Linked DNA regions of Arabidopsis thaliana. The protein of the gene in region 1 purifies or fractionates together with the protein of each later gene. This does not show direct contact. Each region holds a gene or a part of one and is shown in the gene's direction. Other genes may lie near its edges.

Region 1 (4,774 bases):
GCAGTTGAAAGGACAGCTCAATGTGATGAAGCACATGGCATCAGATGGCGATGCTGAAGTTGTGAAAGAGGTGGACATCATCTTCAAAGATTTAGGTGAGAAGGAAGCACAACTCGCAGATCTCGATAAATTTAACCAAACTCTTATCCTTAGAGAGCGCAGGACCAACGATGAGCTTCAAGAAGCTCATAAAGAATTGGTAAACGTATGTATCATTCAAAGTGTTGTTCTTTTCAATCACATCGAAAAGCTATGAGAAAGCTTGACATTTTACTAAAATCTTGGTTTTGTTTGTTTCATGTGCCTTCATAGATTATGAAAGAATGGAACACAAATATCGGTGTTAAGAGAATGGGAGAGCTCGTGACGAAACCATTCGTGGATGCAATGCAGCAGAAGTATTGTCAGCAAGATGTGGAGGACCGAGCAGTTGAAGTTCTCCAACTTTGGGAACACTATCTCAAAGATTCAGATTGGCATCCATTCAAGCGGGTCAAGCTCGAAAATGAAGATAGAGAAGTGGTAAGACCGCCTTCTTGACTCTGTTTGTTATGTTGAATCTCTCTGAAAGATTAAAAAGCTTTTTTGGTGTTGTTGTTAATTGTGTTTAGGAAGTGATAGATGATAGAGACGAAAAGCTGAGGGAGCTAAAGGCAGATTTGGGAGATGGTCCTTACAATGCGGTCACGAAAGCTTTGTTGGAGATAAACGAGTATAACCCGAGTGGAAGGTATATTACAACAGAGCTATGGAACTTCAAAGCAGATAAGAAGGCTACACTTGAAGAAGGTGTCACTTGTTTACTTGATCAATGGGAAAAGGCGAAACGCAAGCGTGGAATGGCTTAGAGGTTTAACCATTTTTGATAACCGAACAAAAATATGTTTTCATTTGCAATTGTTATTTGCTAATATAGGATTTCGATTGATGGTTTGCAGCTGCAAGATGATGGACATGGGACTGAATAAAAAGCCGATGCGGTTTTTAGTTGCAGAGAAATGTGTTTGGTTTGACCAAACTTTGGTGGATTCTGTTTGTTTTTCTTCTCAGAACTTAGTGAATAATTGACACAACTTTGATGTCTTGCATCGGTTCTTTTCATTGTAACATTTGTAGGAGTTTGGCCGCTTTGGACAATAAGAAATAAAAATATCATTGTAATATAATTCACATGTAAAACAACTAGATTTGGCCTCTCTTCTGTCTCATATCTTAAGCATGTCATTTAGAACCTTTTATTGTAAAAACAAACTTTGTCATGAGTTACTTTTTGTAGTCAAATTTGATATTGACCCCTTCCTTATTATGCTAACACTGTTTTCATCTTATAACCCTATAAATCTAAGTTTCGTGAATATAGCCAAAATCATCTACATCATTGCAAAGAACCTTAAAGGAGAAAGAAGAAAACCGGCTTGAGAGAGATGGAAAACAACTCAGGAGCTATTCTCTTTGTGATCTTAGCTATGACCATTGTTCTTCAAGTGAGGCCAGGGTTCTCTCAAGCACTCCCTACGATCCCCGGACTTTTCCCACCGGGTCTTCCTATTGATATCATAAAATGTTGGTCATCTCTCTTTAACGTCCAAGGATGTGTACAAGAAATCTACAAATCGATATTTTCTGGTCAGTTTGCTAGCATTGAAGCCCCATGTTGTAAAACGTTTTCAGCTATAGATACAAACTGTTGGCCACATATGTTTCCATTGAACCCATTCTTCCCTCCTATTCTCAAGAACAACTGCGAGCGTATTGCTACGACTCCATCATCAACACACAAGTGAAGGCTACACACAAATGTTGCGAGCCAGTTGTTAGCTTCGAGGTTTAAGAAGTTCTTTTATCGATTTGAGAGATCACAATGCCCAATAATCCAAAATTCTCCTTGCAGTAATTTTTTTTTTTTTGTAATCTTTAGCTTAAAATAAACAAAGCTAAGCTTTTTGATGTACTCGTATGTGTTTGCCATGTAGTTTGTTAAAAGAGTGGTTATAACATAAACAAAATTTTGTTTGCGTTTATATATGAAAATATTGTTCTTACACTATGGAATAAAACATATTTCAGCATTTAAAATTTGTAAAAACGACGAACACGAACGCATATCAATACCATACCAAAAAGATTATATCGTACATGAAACTTGTTGCAGACAATGGCATGACTAATGGGCCTCTATTAACTTAGCCCATAAGGCCCAATAAAACTTTCCAAATAGTTTCATTTTTCAGATTTTGAAGAATCTCCCGACGACTCCTCTCTGTCTCCTCCTCCGGGAAGCTTTCTGTCTCTCTCTCTCTCTCTCTACACAAGACCTTGAAGAATCCGATTCCATAACAATGGCGACTTCGTTAGCACGAATCTCTAAAAGAAGCATAACATCGGCTGTTTCATCGAATCTGATTCGGCGTTACTTCGCCGCGGAAGCAGTAGCGGTGGCGACGACGGAAACACCTAAACCGAAATCGCAGGTGACGCCGTCGCCGGATCGGGTAAAATGGGACTACAGAGGCCAGAGACAGATAATTCCTCTGGGACAGTGGCTACCGAAGGTAGCTGTAGATGCTTACGTGGCACCTAACGTTGTGTTGGCTGGTCAGGTCACCGTCTGGGACGGCTCGTCTGTATGGAACGGTGCCGTTTTGAGAGGAGATCTTAATAAGATCACCGTTGGATTCTGCTCAAATGTCCAGGAACGGTGTGTTGTTCATGCTGCGTGGTCGTCGCCTACAGGTTCTTGTTCTTTGTCATTTTTTCGGAATTTGAGTCTCTGTATGGTTCCATTGTAGCTTCTAGTTTGAGTTCTGGATATCCAATTGCTGTAGTTACTGCTTGCTAGCTAATGGAATCATTGATATTGGAATTTAGGGTTTTCATTTTCATCTTCCATTTTGATTATGGAAAATGTAGAGTCTCACCTTTAAGGAGATTTTACACTTTTATCTGAAGTAGTGAAGTGTAAGTAAGCATATTTGTTTGGAGTGAAGATGTCCCCAGATCAAGAATCATGAATGATATTTGTTCAGTAAAGTTAATCTTCAGAGCATTTTGCGTTTAGCTAGACAAGGATGCATAGAATTGCGTAGTTCTTTAGGTGATTAGTGATATTGGAAGCAAGAAACCCATTGATGATATGTGCTTGATTTTAAAATTTAGGTAATTCAGGGGTTGAATAGATTAGCATGGTGGAGACCATCTTGTTTAGTTGTAGAAAGTTGCCTAGCAGCTCTGGAGAAGTTTCAGGAACTATGTCATAGTAAAGATTTTTAGTTATGCGGAGAGAATTTTGCAGAAAGTTGATATTATATTCAGTGGTTGGAACCGAGATTCTGAAGCTGCGTCAAGCTGAATGAACATAAGCGTCTTTTAGTCTTACCAAGGTGGATTCCGTGTCAAAGTCTTTAGTTCAACAGCCTCCTGGTTTGATTAAGCTGTAGTTTACAACTAGTACTTAATTACTTGATTCACCATTTTTTCGGGTTAATAGCTCTGTATTATCAACCAGTCTTCATGCTTTTTCTATACTAACATCTTGAAGGATAGAGCATACTGTGGTGCTGCTTTTGAATTTTGATATGATAGATAAAAATCTGATCTTAGAAGATACTTTCTACTTTGATTTTTTTCAGGATTACCAGCACAAACATTGATCGATAGGTACGTGACAGTTGGTGCATACAGTCTTTTAAGATCATGCACTATCGAACCAGAATGCATCATCGGGCAACACTCAATCCTAATGGAAGGTTCACTGGTCGAAACCCGCTCAATCCTAGAAGCTGGTTCTGTTTTACCACCTGGCAGAAGAATCCCATCTGGTGAACTATGGGGAGGCAATCCAGCAAGGTTTATTCGAACACTCACCAATGAAGAAACCTTAGAGATCCCGAAACTTGCTGTTGCCATTAACCACCTAAGTGGAGATTACTTCTCAGAGTTCTTGCCTTACTCAACTATCTATCTAGAGGTTGAGAAGTTCAAGAAATCCCTTGGAATCGCCATCTAGAAAGCTTCTTCCAGGTTTCTGGCTACTTCCCTCATTAAGAAAGCTTCTTCGTTTTCGGAATTTGATCTGAATAAGTAGCTGCGGAACAAGAAAAAGAGCAGAGCTGTGTTTCAAATGTTGTCTTCTCTGTTTGTTTTGTTTAAGTTCATATCCTTGTGTTCAAACTTTCTATGAAGATGATAATGGTGAAAACTGGAAAGTGTAAAACTTCTTTCGTCTCCCCTCACAATTGGAAAAGCTAATAATCTCGTAGTGTTATAGAATTAAACATCTCGTACTAAAATATTTTCATCTTCAATTTTTATTGTGTTGCTTTGGGCGAAAAGCCAATCACTGAAACATTACAGAAACTGAGAGACGCAACTAAAATATGTAGTACCAAATTATTCCAATATCTCTAGAGAGCACAAAGCTAGTTCCCTCCCTTAATAAACCCTGAGAATTTATGCATGACTTCAATAGCATTATCACATTCAGGTTTCAACAAATGAAAAACATGATCTTCTCCTTCACTCTCCACCACTTCAACCTCTCCTTTCCAACCAGACTTCTCAAGCTTAGCCGCGTAACCCCAACCCTGCCTCACCAACGCATCTTTCTCAGCCACCATTACCAAAACCTTACCACAACCCAACCCAGACAAATCCACCGACTCTGATTGCACCACGTTGAGCAACGGATCATCTGTTCCATCTTTGCTATTAGGACTTGCCATCATCCAAAACGCCTCTATCTTCATCCTCAACGTTTCATCTTTCGTATCCTTCT
Region 2 (4,812 bases), on another chromosome or scaffold:
TTTGTTCAGAATTAGGGTGGCAAGAGCATCGCTCTCCACATCCTCAGCAACGATCAGCAGCGGCCTTTGCTTCTGAAAAATGGCAGTGAAAATAAATTTCGATCTTCAGATCAAAGTAACTTAATGAATATCAGACACTATTGACAGTGAAGAAATCGCCAAATTGTTTATACCTTGAGGGCCAGTTCTAATACTTTCACCATTGCGTTTATATTGGAAATTTTCTTCTCGTGGATAAGAATGAGAGGATCTTCTAGTTCCTGCAACACATATTCATTCAGAGCAAATTAAATCCGCAATTCCTTAAATTGATAAAGTAACAAGGTGGGAATCCTTACACATTTTTGTGTTTTCGGGTTAGTTATGAAGTACGGGGAGATGTATCCCCTGTCAATCTTCATACCCTCAACAACTTCCAGCTCATTAAACAAGGTCTTGCCATCCTGAATCAAGAGATGATAACATTGGTCACCTTAAGGAATAAGCAAAATAATTTGACATTTAGGGATAAAATTCAACTCACTTGAATTGTGATCACTCCCTCTTTGCCGACAGTTTCCATAGCCTTTGCAATCAGTTCACCAATTTCCCTATCTCCATTAGCTGATATTGTTCCAACTTGGGCGATTTCTTCAGAGGTGCTAATCATGCGTGCTCGGCTCTGCAAGTTCGTCACAACAGTATCAACTGCCAATTTGATACCACGTCTTAGGTCCATTGCATTCATTCCAGCGGCAACTGATTTACAACCTTCCGTGAAGATAGCTCTAGTAAGGACTGTGGCACACGTTGTTCCTGTAACGCATACCATATATTTTGTCAGATACAAAAACACCGATTAATATGAGTAGATAGGAGACTAACAACCCAATTAGCAAAAACAGAAAAAACGTTTTAATCCATTGAAAGGGAACACTTACCATCACCAGCTACGTCATTTGTGGCGTTAGCAACCTGTTTCACAAGACTGGCACCAACGTTCTTAATTCTATCCTTGAACTCAATGCTCTTGGCAACAGTCACACCATCCTTTGTCACCTTTGGTGCACCCCAGCTTTGTTCGATGATGACATTACGACCCTTCAAAAATGGTTTTAGACATGTAGTATCAGAGAGTGTGAGGGTAACAAAACAGACGATTGTTGATACTTGTCAATAGGTCGTCACGTTATCTATTTTTAACTAGATTCACTTACAATACAAGTCTCTTACACAGAAATTATCTGAAACATAAGTTTATACCTTGGGTCCCATAGTGACTTTAACTGCATCAGCAAGATCCTCAACACCCCTAAGCATTAAAGCCCGAGCTTCAACACCGAACCTTATGTCTTTTGCTGCATAATTCCTAGTAGAATTGAGCCTGCTTCCAATCTAACAATACACAAATTCACATCAATACATACCCACAAACGGCTAAACCACAAATTAGATACAAAATGAAGAACACGAACCTGGCTTGTACACTTTCTGGCAATCCTGTTGAAACAAAGAAAAATAAATCCCATCAATAAATGAAGCAACTTCCAGAAATACAAAGAAAATAGAAGATGCTAAACTCTCCAATGGCAGAGAAATATTCAATTCAATCCGATCAAAATCCGATTCAATTCCCAACAGTTTCTCGCAACTTTCCGATTTCGAGGATCCAATCAGAAACAAATTCACAGAAAATAAAGCAGCATTGGAATCATATACACAAAGAAAACCAAAAAGTCGAATAGATCTACCTAGCTTTGGAAGCAACGTTGGAGACAAGCCGATACATGGTGATTGATTCTCTCACACAACCGAGAAGATTGCAATTAATTCAGATCAGACCGAACTAAAGAAGCTAAATTGACAAATTCTCTCACTCGTAGATGAGGAGAAATGAAGCAGATCGTCGAAGATTCTATAAGCAGTAGGGTTTAGGGTTTTACGTTTTCTCCAAGCTCATCATTGCTTGGTCGAGTTTTAGCCTCCGGTTTTGGATCCGGTTCGAGTTTTGACCCGGTACTATTTTAATATGGGCCTTTTAAAGCCCAGTTCATTATTACAACATTTTAAAAAAAAAGTCACCAAAAAAAAGATTTTTCATTTCATTTCATTTCTGATTGTCTTTCTCAGAATCCCTAGAACACACACTGATTAACGAATCAAAGATCGATTTGGGGATCAATCGAGGAAGAAGATGACGGAGGCGATGATAAGGAAGAAGCCAGGAATGGCGAGTGTGAAGGATATGCCGTTGCTTCAGGATGGTCCACCACCTGGTGGATTCGCGCCGGTCCGATATGCTCGCCGGATCTCCAACACGGGACCTAGCGCCATGGCTATTTTCCTTACCGTTTCCGGTGCTTTTGCTTGGGGCATGTACCAAGTTGGTCAGGGCAACAAAATCCGCAGGTAATTAGATAATGAGATGTGGAATTTGAGTTTGGTTAGGCTTTTCTCTATTGTGAAATTTTGAGTAATTTGGGATTGAATCTTAAGACAATTTGGGATTGATGCTTATAAATTTGTGTGGTTAGTCTCGAAATTGGTTACTAATTAACGATCTCTTGAGCTGTGATGAAGAAAGCAATCAAATTGCAAGATGATATACTAGTGGTTAGTTGCATATTGGTTTTTAGATGGTCACATTGTGAGTTATTTAGCTTGATTAGTGTCGATTTGGAGTAATTTGCAACGAATAAGACAACACAGTGTTATCTTTCTTGGTGTGTGTAAGTGACATTCTCTAATAGTCTTCTATTGTTAGACTCTCAATTGCATAATGATGACAAAAGTGTCAAAATGAGCACAATGTATCAACTCCAAAGTTTTAATGAAGATTGCTGTGATGATAGGGCGTTGAAGGAAGAGAAGTACGCTGCACGTAGAGCAATTCTACCGATTCTTCAAGCTGAAGAAGATGAAAGGTAGGATTCACAAAAGAAGTTATGTTTGCTTGTGTGGTACAAACTCTCACATTGGATCACCACGTGTTGATTTGTAAATAGGTTTGTGTCTGAGTGGAAGAAGTATCTAGAATACGAGGCGGATGTGATGAAGGATGTTCCTGGATGGAAAGTCGGTGAAAACGTGTACAATTCTGGTCGTTGGATGCCTCCAGCTACCGGAGAGCTTCGTCCTGATGTCTGGTAAAATTTCAATGGCTCCTTTTGATGATGATGAATGAATGTTTGTTTAAGCATTTTAGAACCTTGATGTTTGTTGTCTCTATATTTCCATCGTATAATAAGAGAAATGATACATACACAGTTCATGTATTGCTGGTACGGTACGGAGGAATGTTTTCGGTATTTTTCCCTCATTCACTTATTTCTGTCAATGACGAAATCAGTTTCAGACACATGTTCATATATTTTGTTTAAACTAATCATGTTTTAAACTTTCTAGATCAGCTCTAATCAAACACATTTGCTAACAAAAGATAAGTTGGAATGTTAAAGAATACGTTAAATACATGGAGCCACATCCTCCTTACAAGAAAATAAGCTCAAACACATTTCACAGTTATACTCTCATGGAGTGGGCTTATCTCTTTGATTTTCACATCACATAACACTATCGATCCTCTCTTTTTTACCTCTTCTCATATATGTTTTCGTATAAACAGTGAAAATCAAAAGTGTGAAATACAACGACGGTGGCGAGTAGCGACAGTTTTGATCTGTTGCTTAGTTTCTTCTTTCCAGCTATTGGCAATGTCATGAGCTACACTCATTGCATCGAACGATGCACCTGAGAGTCCTCTTCCGGTGAATCCCACCGCATACAATCCAGCCTTCCCTTTCCACCCTTTTGGAAATGGGTTTTTCTCTATCCCAATCTCACCCAAGTCGTTTTCCTGCATAACAATAAATCAATCACCAATCAACGTCTTAGTTTTTATCAAACTTCCCATAACTATCAATACCGGTATTCTATGGTCCTATAAAATGTTATCTTTTGAGACAAAAATCTGAAAAAGATAATACTTTTGTCTACCTTAAGCCATGAAGGGACATTGCTTCTGTAACCAGTGGCAAGAATCACTGAATCAATCTGCAGAACTCGACCATCCACGAGTTCGACCTTTCCCGGACCAAACTTAGCTATTCCCGCTACGATTTTGATCTTTCCTGATTTGATCATTGAAATGGCTCCGATGTCTAGCACGGGAGTTTTACCTGCGGTGTTCTTCAGCTCTAACGGTCCAATTTCAGGCCTCTTGAGCCCATACTTATCGGTGTTCCCTAGAAGTAACCTTGTGAGAACGAGAAGAGTCTTGTCCACGAGCCAAACCGGCATCCATTTCATCATTGTTACACTTAACTCGAACGTCGACTTCCCAAGAACTTCTCTCGGTAATACATGAACCTGATCGAACAAGGAAAAACAGAGTATAACTATCAGATGCTCTGTTTTAAACAGAGGAGCTACTAAGAATCAGGGTGCTCTGTTTTTCGTAACTTGGTGGGTATAATTTACTGAATTTTACTTACGGAGCTTCGAACGACCATTGATGGGCTCGCATCATGATTGCATAGATCAAGAGAGACTTCCATGCCTGAGTTTCCACATCCAACTACGAGAACTCGTTTTCCGCGGTACCTCTCGCCGGATTTATAATCTCCAGCGTGAAGAACATCACCACCAAAATCTTCTAAACCCTCAAACTCCGGCACCACTTTCTCAGCATTCTCTCCCGTCGCCACCACGAGCCACCTGCATATATACTCGAACTCACAATAACCGAGCAGCTCGCTTCTCAAAACAGTCTGGACCCGCCACAGCCCAAACCTCTTGTCATATTTAGCTGATTGGACCGTCTCATTGAACTTG
Region 3 (5,316 bases), on another chromosome or scaffold:
GGTATGTTCCCTGTGAAACTATTGTTCCACGCAGACAAGTAGATCGAACCGAGTGGTGGAGTAGGAAACGCTCCTGTCATGGAGTTATAGGCAAAATCTAGTAACTGCACTGATGAGTTAAGTAAAACTTCTGAAGAACCTTCGAAACCAGTCAAAGAATTGTTAACAAGATTTGCTATGCTAAGACGAGGAAGCTTCCAAAACCACTCAGGTACTTTCCCTTTGATTAGATTGTTGGAAATGTCTATATGCTCCAAGTTTTGAAGGGTCTTAAAGATGTTTGGAAACTCGATAATGTCGCACTGGATCAAAATCAAGCTTATTAAGCTCAATGGAAACTCTGAATCTGAACTTAAACTGGCTGGTAATAACCTATTTTGACGAATATCAAAGACCAACAAAGATTTGAGAGGAGCGAAGACGCGTAAGTCAATTGGGTGACTTATGTTTAGGGAAGCAAGTTCAAGATGGTTGAGGTTTATGAGCTTTGAGATAGGCTCTATGATTTTTCCTTCAAATTGGTTAAACCCAAGGGACAAACGAACTAGCTTAGATGAAGAAGAAGAGTTTGGGACATCAATAGAACCAGTGAGATGATTCTTTTTCAGATCAAGATAAGACAAGAAAGGCAAAGTGGGTAGTAAATCAAAAGGTATGGCTCCTGAGAATTGATTGTAAGAAAGGTCTAAAAAGGAAAGCTTTGTTAGGTTTCTTACAGGTGGGAAACTACCAGTGAGCTCATTATGGGAAAGGTTTAAATGGGTAAGCAAGATAAGGTTACTAATTGAGGAAGGAACTTGACCAGTAAAGCTACTAGAGGCAAGAGACAAAACCTCTAATCTGGTGAGATTGCTGAATTCAGAAGGGAGTGAAGAGGAAGTGAAGTTGTTGTGAGAGAGATTAAGGTAACGAAGCTGATGCAACTCAAAGAGACTACTGTTTGGTTTGAGAGTTCCAGTGAAGCAACCACTTGGGAGCTGAAGCTTCGTGACCGCACCAGTCGTGTTATCACACTGGACTCCGTTTAAGTAGTCACTGCGGTTGCAGCCGTCAGATTCAAACTCATTCTTGAATTGGATTAGAGCTTGGATCTGGTCAGGAAGACAAGCAAGAGCGTCGGTCGTCAAGAAGCTTGAAACGAAGACGATACAGTAGAGTAAGAGTAGCGAGCAAAAATGCAAACGCATGGTGTTTGTGATTGAACCAACAAGTTGAGGAAATTATTGAACCCAAAAAAAGACATATCAAAGATTTGCTATATATATGTTATTTTAAGCCGCCTTTACTAAATATGTGGGGTTTAAATGTCACGTGAAATGTCTACGAGTCACATTTGTTCATGAAGTAAATTCCACGTGGACATCTCTGACTATATAACTGGGAGTTATAGTTGACTGTTAAAATTGGCTTCAAAATTTAGCAACAAGAGGAAATCAACACTCAGCAATTTACTCTCATTGGATCAAATGAACGCACATTAATATGACGTAACGATGATGACAATTCTGTTTAATAGTATCTTATTGTTTACAGATACAGAAAAATAAATTAAGTGGGCCTTTCAATAATTAATAGGTTGGTGAAATGTTACCTTCTCTTGATATTTTTTTAATTTTCATTTATTATGAGTATGTTGCGTTATGAAACAACTCGCATTAATTTGGTTATAGATTGGAGAAAGAAGAAGTCATGGTCAAAACTCAAAAATGTAAAAGGAAACAAGACGTGTATGACGACGTGATTGATAATCTGAGGAGATACCTTTGGGCCTTATAAGATGGGCCGAAAAAGTAATAGTATTAGCCTCTATTCGGCCCGATTAATTTCAGGGGAAATTTTGGTAATAAAGTGGAAACGACGTCGTGACAAAACTACTGTGTAGACTGAGAAATAAAGAAGCCCTTGATTTTGCCCATTGCAGTCATCTCTCTCGAATCTCTCTCTATAATCCGATCTGAGAAATTTCGCCGGAGCTAGGTTTTGTTGTTTACCGATCAATCCTTTAATCAATGGCAATGGCTGTTTTCCGTCGCGAAGGGAGGCGTCTCCTCCCTTCAATCGCCGCTCGCCCAATCGCTGCTATCCGATCTCCTCTCTCTTCTGACCAGTGAGATCTCTTTCTCATTCATCTTATCCTTGCGTATAAACACACATTTCGCTGTTCCTCTGTGATGCTTTTCTGAATTTGAAATCGTTTGATTTAATTGAGTCGTTGATGTTTTCATTTCCTTGAAATTCGAATCGACGAAAATTTATGGAAATTGTGTTGTTTGACTCGGGAGCTGCTAATGAGTGAGGTGTTTTTGTTCGTCTATTTGGAGTTTTGAGACTCGGAAATGTCCTGTTAAGCTCGTTTCGTTGAATTTCCTATTGCAAGACCAATTTGATTTTCCTCGTAGAAGAGACTTTGTGATATGTTGTCTAAGCTCGTCAGATTTAATCAGCTTTTACCTGCAAAACTTTGTGATATTTAGGATGATGAGGACTAAACTTGTATTTGATTTGTAGGGAGGAAGGACTTCTTGGAGTTCGATCTATCTCAACTCAAGTGGGTAAGTCAAAGCTGATAATTGGAGATTGGTTTTACCTAGTTAGGATTGTGTTCTAAGAAATCTGTGATGTTCTAATCTTTATGAATTGCTTTACATGTATTCTCTGTGCAGTGCGTAACCGCATGAAGAGTGTTAAGAACATCCAAAAGATCACAAAGGCAATGAAGATGGTTGCTGCTTCCAAGCTTAGAGCAGTTCAAGGCCGAGCTGAGAACTCCCGTGGACTTTGGCAGCCATTTACTGCACTTCTAGGAGATAATCCCAGTATGGTTGGCTATATAGAGTTGTTTTTCTTAATAACTTTGTTCTAGTATCACTCCGGGCTTGCATCGGTATTGAATATTGATGACGACGAACAAATCTGTTGCTCTTACTATAGTCTGAGATATCCATCCTCTTGCTATCTCTTGTTGTTATTGTGGATGTGTTTCTGATTTCTAGCGTTACTTGATGGAAAAACCAGGCATTGATGTAAAGAAGAGTGTGGTGGTCACTCTCTCTTCTGACAAGGGTCTCTGTGGTGGAATCAACTCCACTGTCGTTAAAGTGAGCAGGGCTCTGTACAAATTGAATGCTGGTATGTTTGAAAACACTACGATGGTTCCGTGGTTTAGTTTTCCTGAATTGCATATCCGATATTAATTCTTATATCATTGCAGGTCCTGAAAAGGAAGTTCAGTTTGTTATTGTCGGAGAGAAAGCAAAGGCTATAATGTTTCGTGACTCAAAGAACGACATTGTCCTCTCTGTAACAGAGCTGAATAAGAACCCACTCAATTATGCTCAGGTAGTTCTTAGTTGCTAATAGTTAGGAGCAATAGTTTCTCTCCCCGATCCATTTGTTCTCGAGCTATTTATTGTTGTCTATAGTGTTTCTTATGTTTACTTGCTGCTTCAGGTGTCAGTTCTAGCTGATGACATCCTGAAGAACGTTGAATTTGATGCTTTGCGCATTGTCTACAACAAGTTCCATTCAGTTGTCGCATTTCTGCCAACTGTGTCCACTGTTTTGTCACCTGAGGTAAGTCATAACTGTTGAACGTCTCAATTTGTGCTTAATATTTCACATTCTGCTTTAAGTATAAACTTGATTGTATATGTGTGTGTTTTGCATTGAAAGATTATTGAGAAGGAGTCTGAAATTGGAGGAAAACTTGGCGAGCTTGACTCATATGAGATTGAAGGTGGGGAAACAAAGGGAGAAATATTGCAGAATCTGGCCGAGTTCCAATTCTCTTGTGTAAGTAACCAAGAAAGTTTAACTTGATTTATGGTATTTCAGCATAGAAAGAAACATAACATTTTGGTTGTTTACGTAAATTCTACTAGGTGATGTTCAATGCGGTTCTGGAGAATGCATGTAGTGAGATGGGAGCAAGAATGTCTGCCATGGACAGCTCAAGCAGAAACGCAGGAGAAATGCTCGACCGTCTCACCCTCACATACAACAGGACTCGTCAAGCTTCTATTACAACAGAGCTTATTGAGATTATCTCTGGAGCTTCTGCTCTTGAAGCTGCTAAATAAGCCCATCCGTGTTAGTTCTCTTTTCTTCGCTTTGATATTTACCCCCACCTTGAAGGAGAAGAGTGTGTTAAAATTTTACTGAATCAGTTTCCTTTGCTGGCTTCTTGTTGAGACCTACCAATGTTTGCTCAACGATTTTTAATAAACATACCTGTAATTTCCAGCAGGATTTCGAATAATTGCATTAACATTTTGTTCTGATTCAGACTCGCTTCCTCCAGAGTCTGTAGTGTTGTTTTGTGCAAACACCATGTACTCCGGTTTATTTGATATTTTTTTACCTGAGCCAATATTTTGTCACTTCGCCAGGTTTTGAAGTTTGAAACTTTGAATAATCCCACAAACAAATCTAAACAATATATCCAATGCAGTGTATGTTGTCATGCTAGTGGATTTCTAGAATTTTGGAATTATGTATAAACAATCTGATGTTAGAAAGTTTAAACTGATGTGAATCCAATCATGTGAAACAAATTTTATGGCTCAATATCTCCTCTTGATCGAGGTCCACTAGGGTATCCAGAGCTGCGGATATTTGAGATATCTGGTAATAAATTTACCGGAGGCTTGCCACCAAATTATTATGAGAATTGGAAAGCATCATCACTCACGCTAAAATCAAGAAGGGGGTTTATATATGATATACACTAAGAATGCTTACGGTAGCATTTCTTATACCTATCAAGATTTTATAGATTTAAGATACAAAGGTCTACACATGGAGCAAAAGAGGATTCTTACTTTATACAGCGCTATTGATTTTTCCGGAAACAGACTTGAAGGACAGATTCCTGAATCCATTGGTCTCTTGAAGGCACTGATTGCACTCAACTTATCAAACAACGCTTTCATAGGTAATATTCCCATGTCTATGGCCAATCTTATTGAGCTTGAATCATTAGACATGTCTAGAAACGGACTATCTGGGACTATTCCTCAAGGACTCAAGACCCTCTCGTTTTTGGGGTACATAAATGTGTCCCATAACCAACTCAAGGGTGAAATACCACAAGGAACACAAATCACTGGGCCACCAAAATCCTCATTTGAAGGGAATGCAGGGCTTTGTGGTCTTCCTCTCGAAGAAAGTTGCTTCGGAACGAAAGTGCCACCAATACAACAGTCAAAGAAAGAAGACAACCAAGAGGATGCAAAAGTGTTGAACTGGAAAGCAGTGGCAACAGGGTATGGACCTGGAGTTTTTTTTGGATTGGCAATAGCGCAAATCATTGCTTCA

The links. Proteins that work in one complex are often made in the same cells at the same time.
Region 2: the proteins of GAMMA CAL2 (region 1) and AT2G33220 fractionate together in Arabidopsis thaliana (co-fractionation; one large-scale study listed by BioGRID). This does not show direct contact.
Region 3: the proteins of GAMMA CAL2 (region 1) and ATP3 fractionate together in Arabidopsis thaliana (co-fractionation; one large-scale study listed by BioGRID). This does not show direct contact.

Annotation. Positions count from the first base shown.
Region 1 is NC_003074.8:18,032,768-18,037,541, forward strand, and holds GAMMA CAL2 (gamma carbonic anhydrase-like 2), read left to right. Parts: upstream 1-2,167; 5' UTR 2,168-2,339; coding exon 2,340-2,733; intron 2,734-3,629; coding exon 3,630-4,006; 3' UTR 4,007-4,274; downstream 4,275-4,774. Other genes in the region: IDN2 (XH/XS domain-containing protein), read left to right, coding at 1-205, 313-522, 612-848; AT3G48675 (egg cell-secreted-like protein (DUF1278)), read left to right, coding at 1,425-1,784; CXE12 (alpha/beta-Hydrolases superfamily protein), read right to left, coding at 4,419-4,774.
Region 2 is NC_003071.7:14,076,801-14,081,612, forward strand, and holds AT2G33220 (GRIM-19 protein), read left to right. Parts: upstream 1-2,049; 5' UTR 2,050-2,173; coding exon 2,174-2,388; intron 2,389-2,831; coding exon 2,832-2,903; intron 2,904-2,984; coding exon 2,985-3,125; coding exon of another isoform or gene 3,126-3,129; exon of another isoform or gene 3,130-3,378; intron 3,379-3,518; exon of another isoform or gene 3,519-3,604; coding exon 3,605-3,701; coding exon of another isoform or gene 3,702-3,835; 3' UTR 3,836-3,943; downstream 3,944-4,812. Other genes in the region: HSP60-2 (heat shock protein 60-2), read right to left, coding at 1-72, 174-260, 339-443, 524-795, 921-1,080, 1,243-1,374, 1,455-1,479, 1,731-1,768; YUC7 (YUCCA 7), read right to left, coding at 3,611-3,835, 3,976-4,347, 4,473-4,812.
Region 3 is NC_003071.7:14,017,741-14,023,056, reverse strand, and holds ATP3 (gamma subunit of Mt ATP synthase), read left to right. Parts: upstream 1-1,871; 5' UTR 1,872-2,009; coding exon 2,010-2,107; intron 2,108-2,508; coding exon 2,509-2,552; intron 2,553-2,663; coding exon 2,664-2,816; intron 2,817-3,015; coding exon 3,016-3,129; intron 3,130-3,211; coding exon 3,212-3,339; intron 3,340-3,450; coding exon 3,451-3,573; intron 3,574-3,672; coding exon 3,673-3,792; intron 3,793-3,881; coding exon 3,882-4,079; 3' UTR 4,080-4,447; downstream 4,448-5,316. Other genes in the region: RLP26 (receptor like protein 26), read right to left, coding at 1-1,187; RLP25 (receptor like protein 25), read left to right, coding at 4,717-5,316.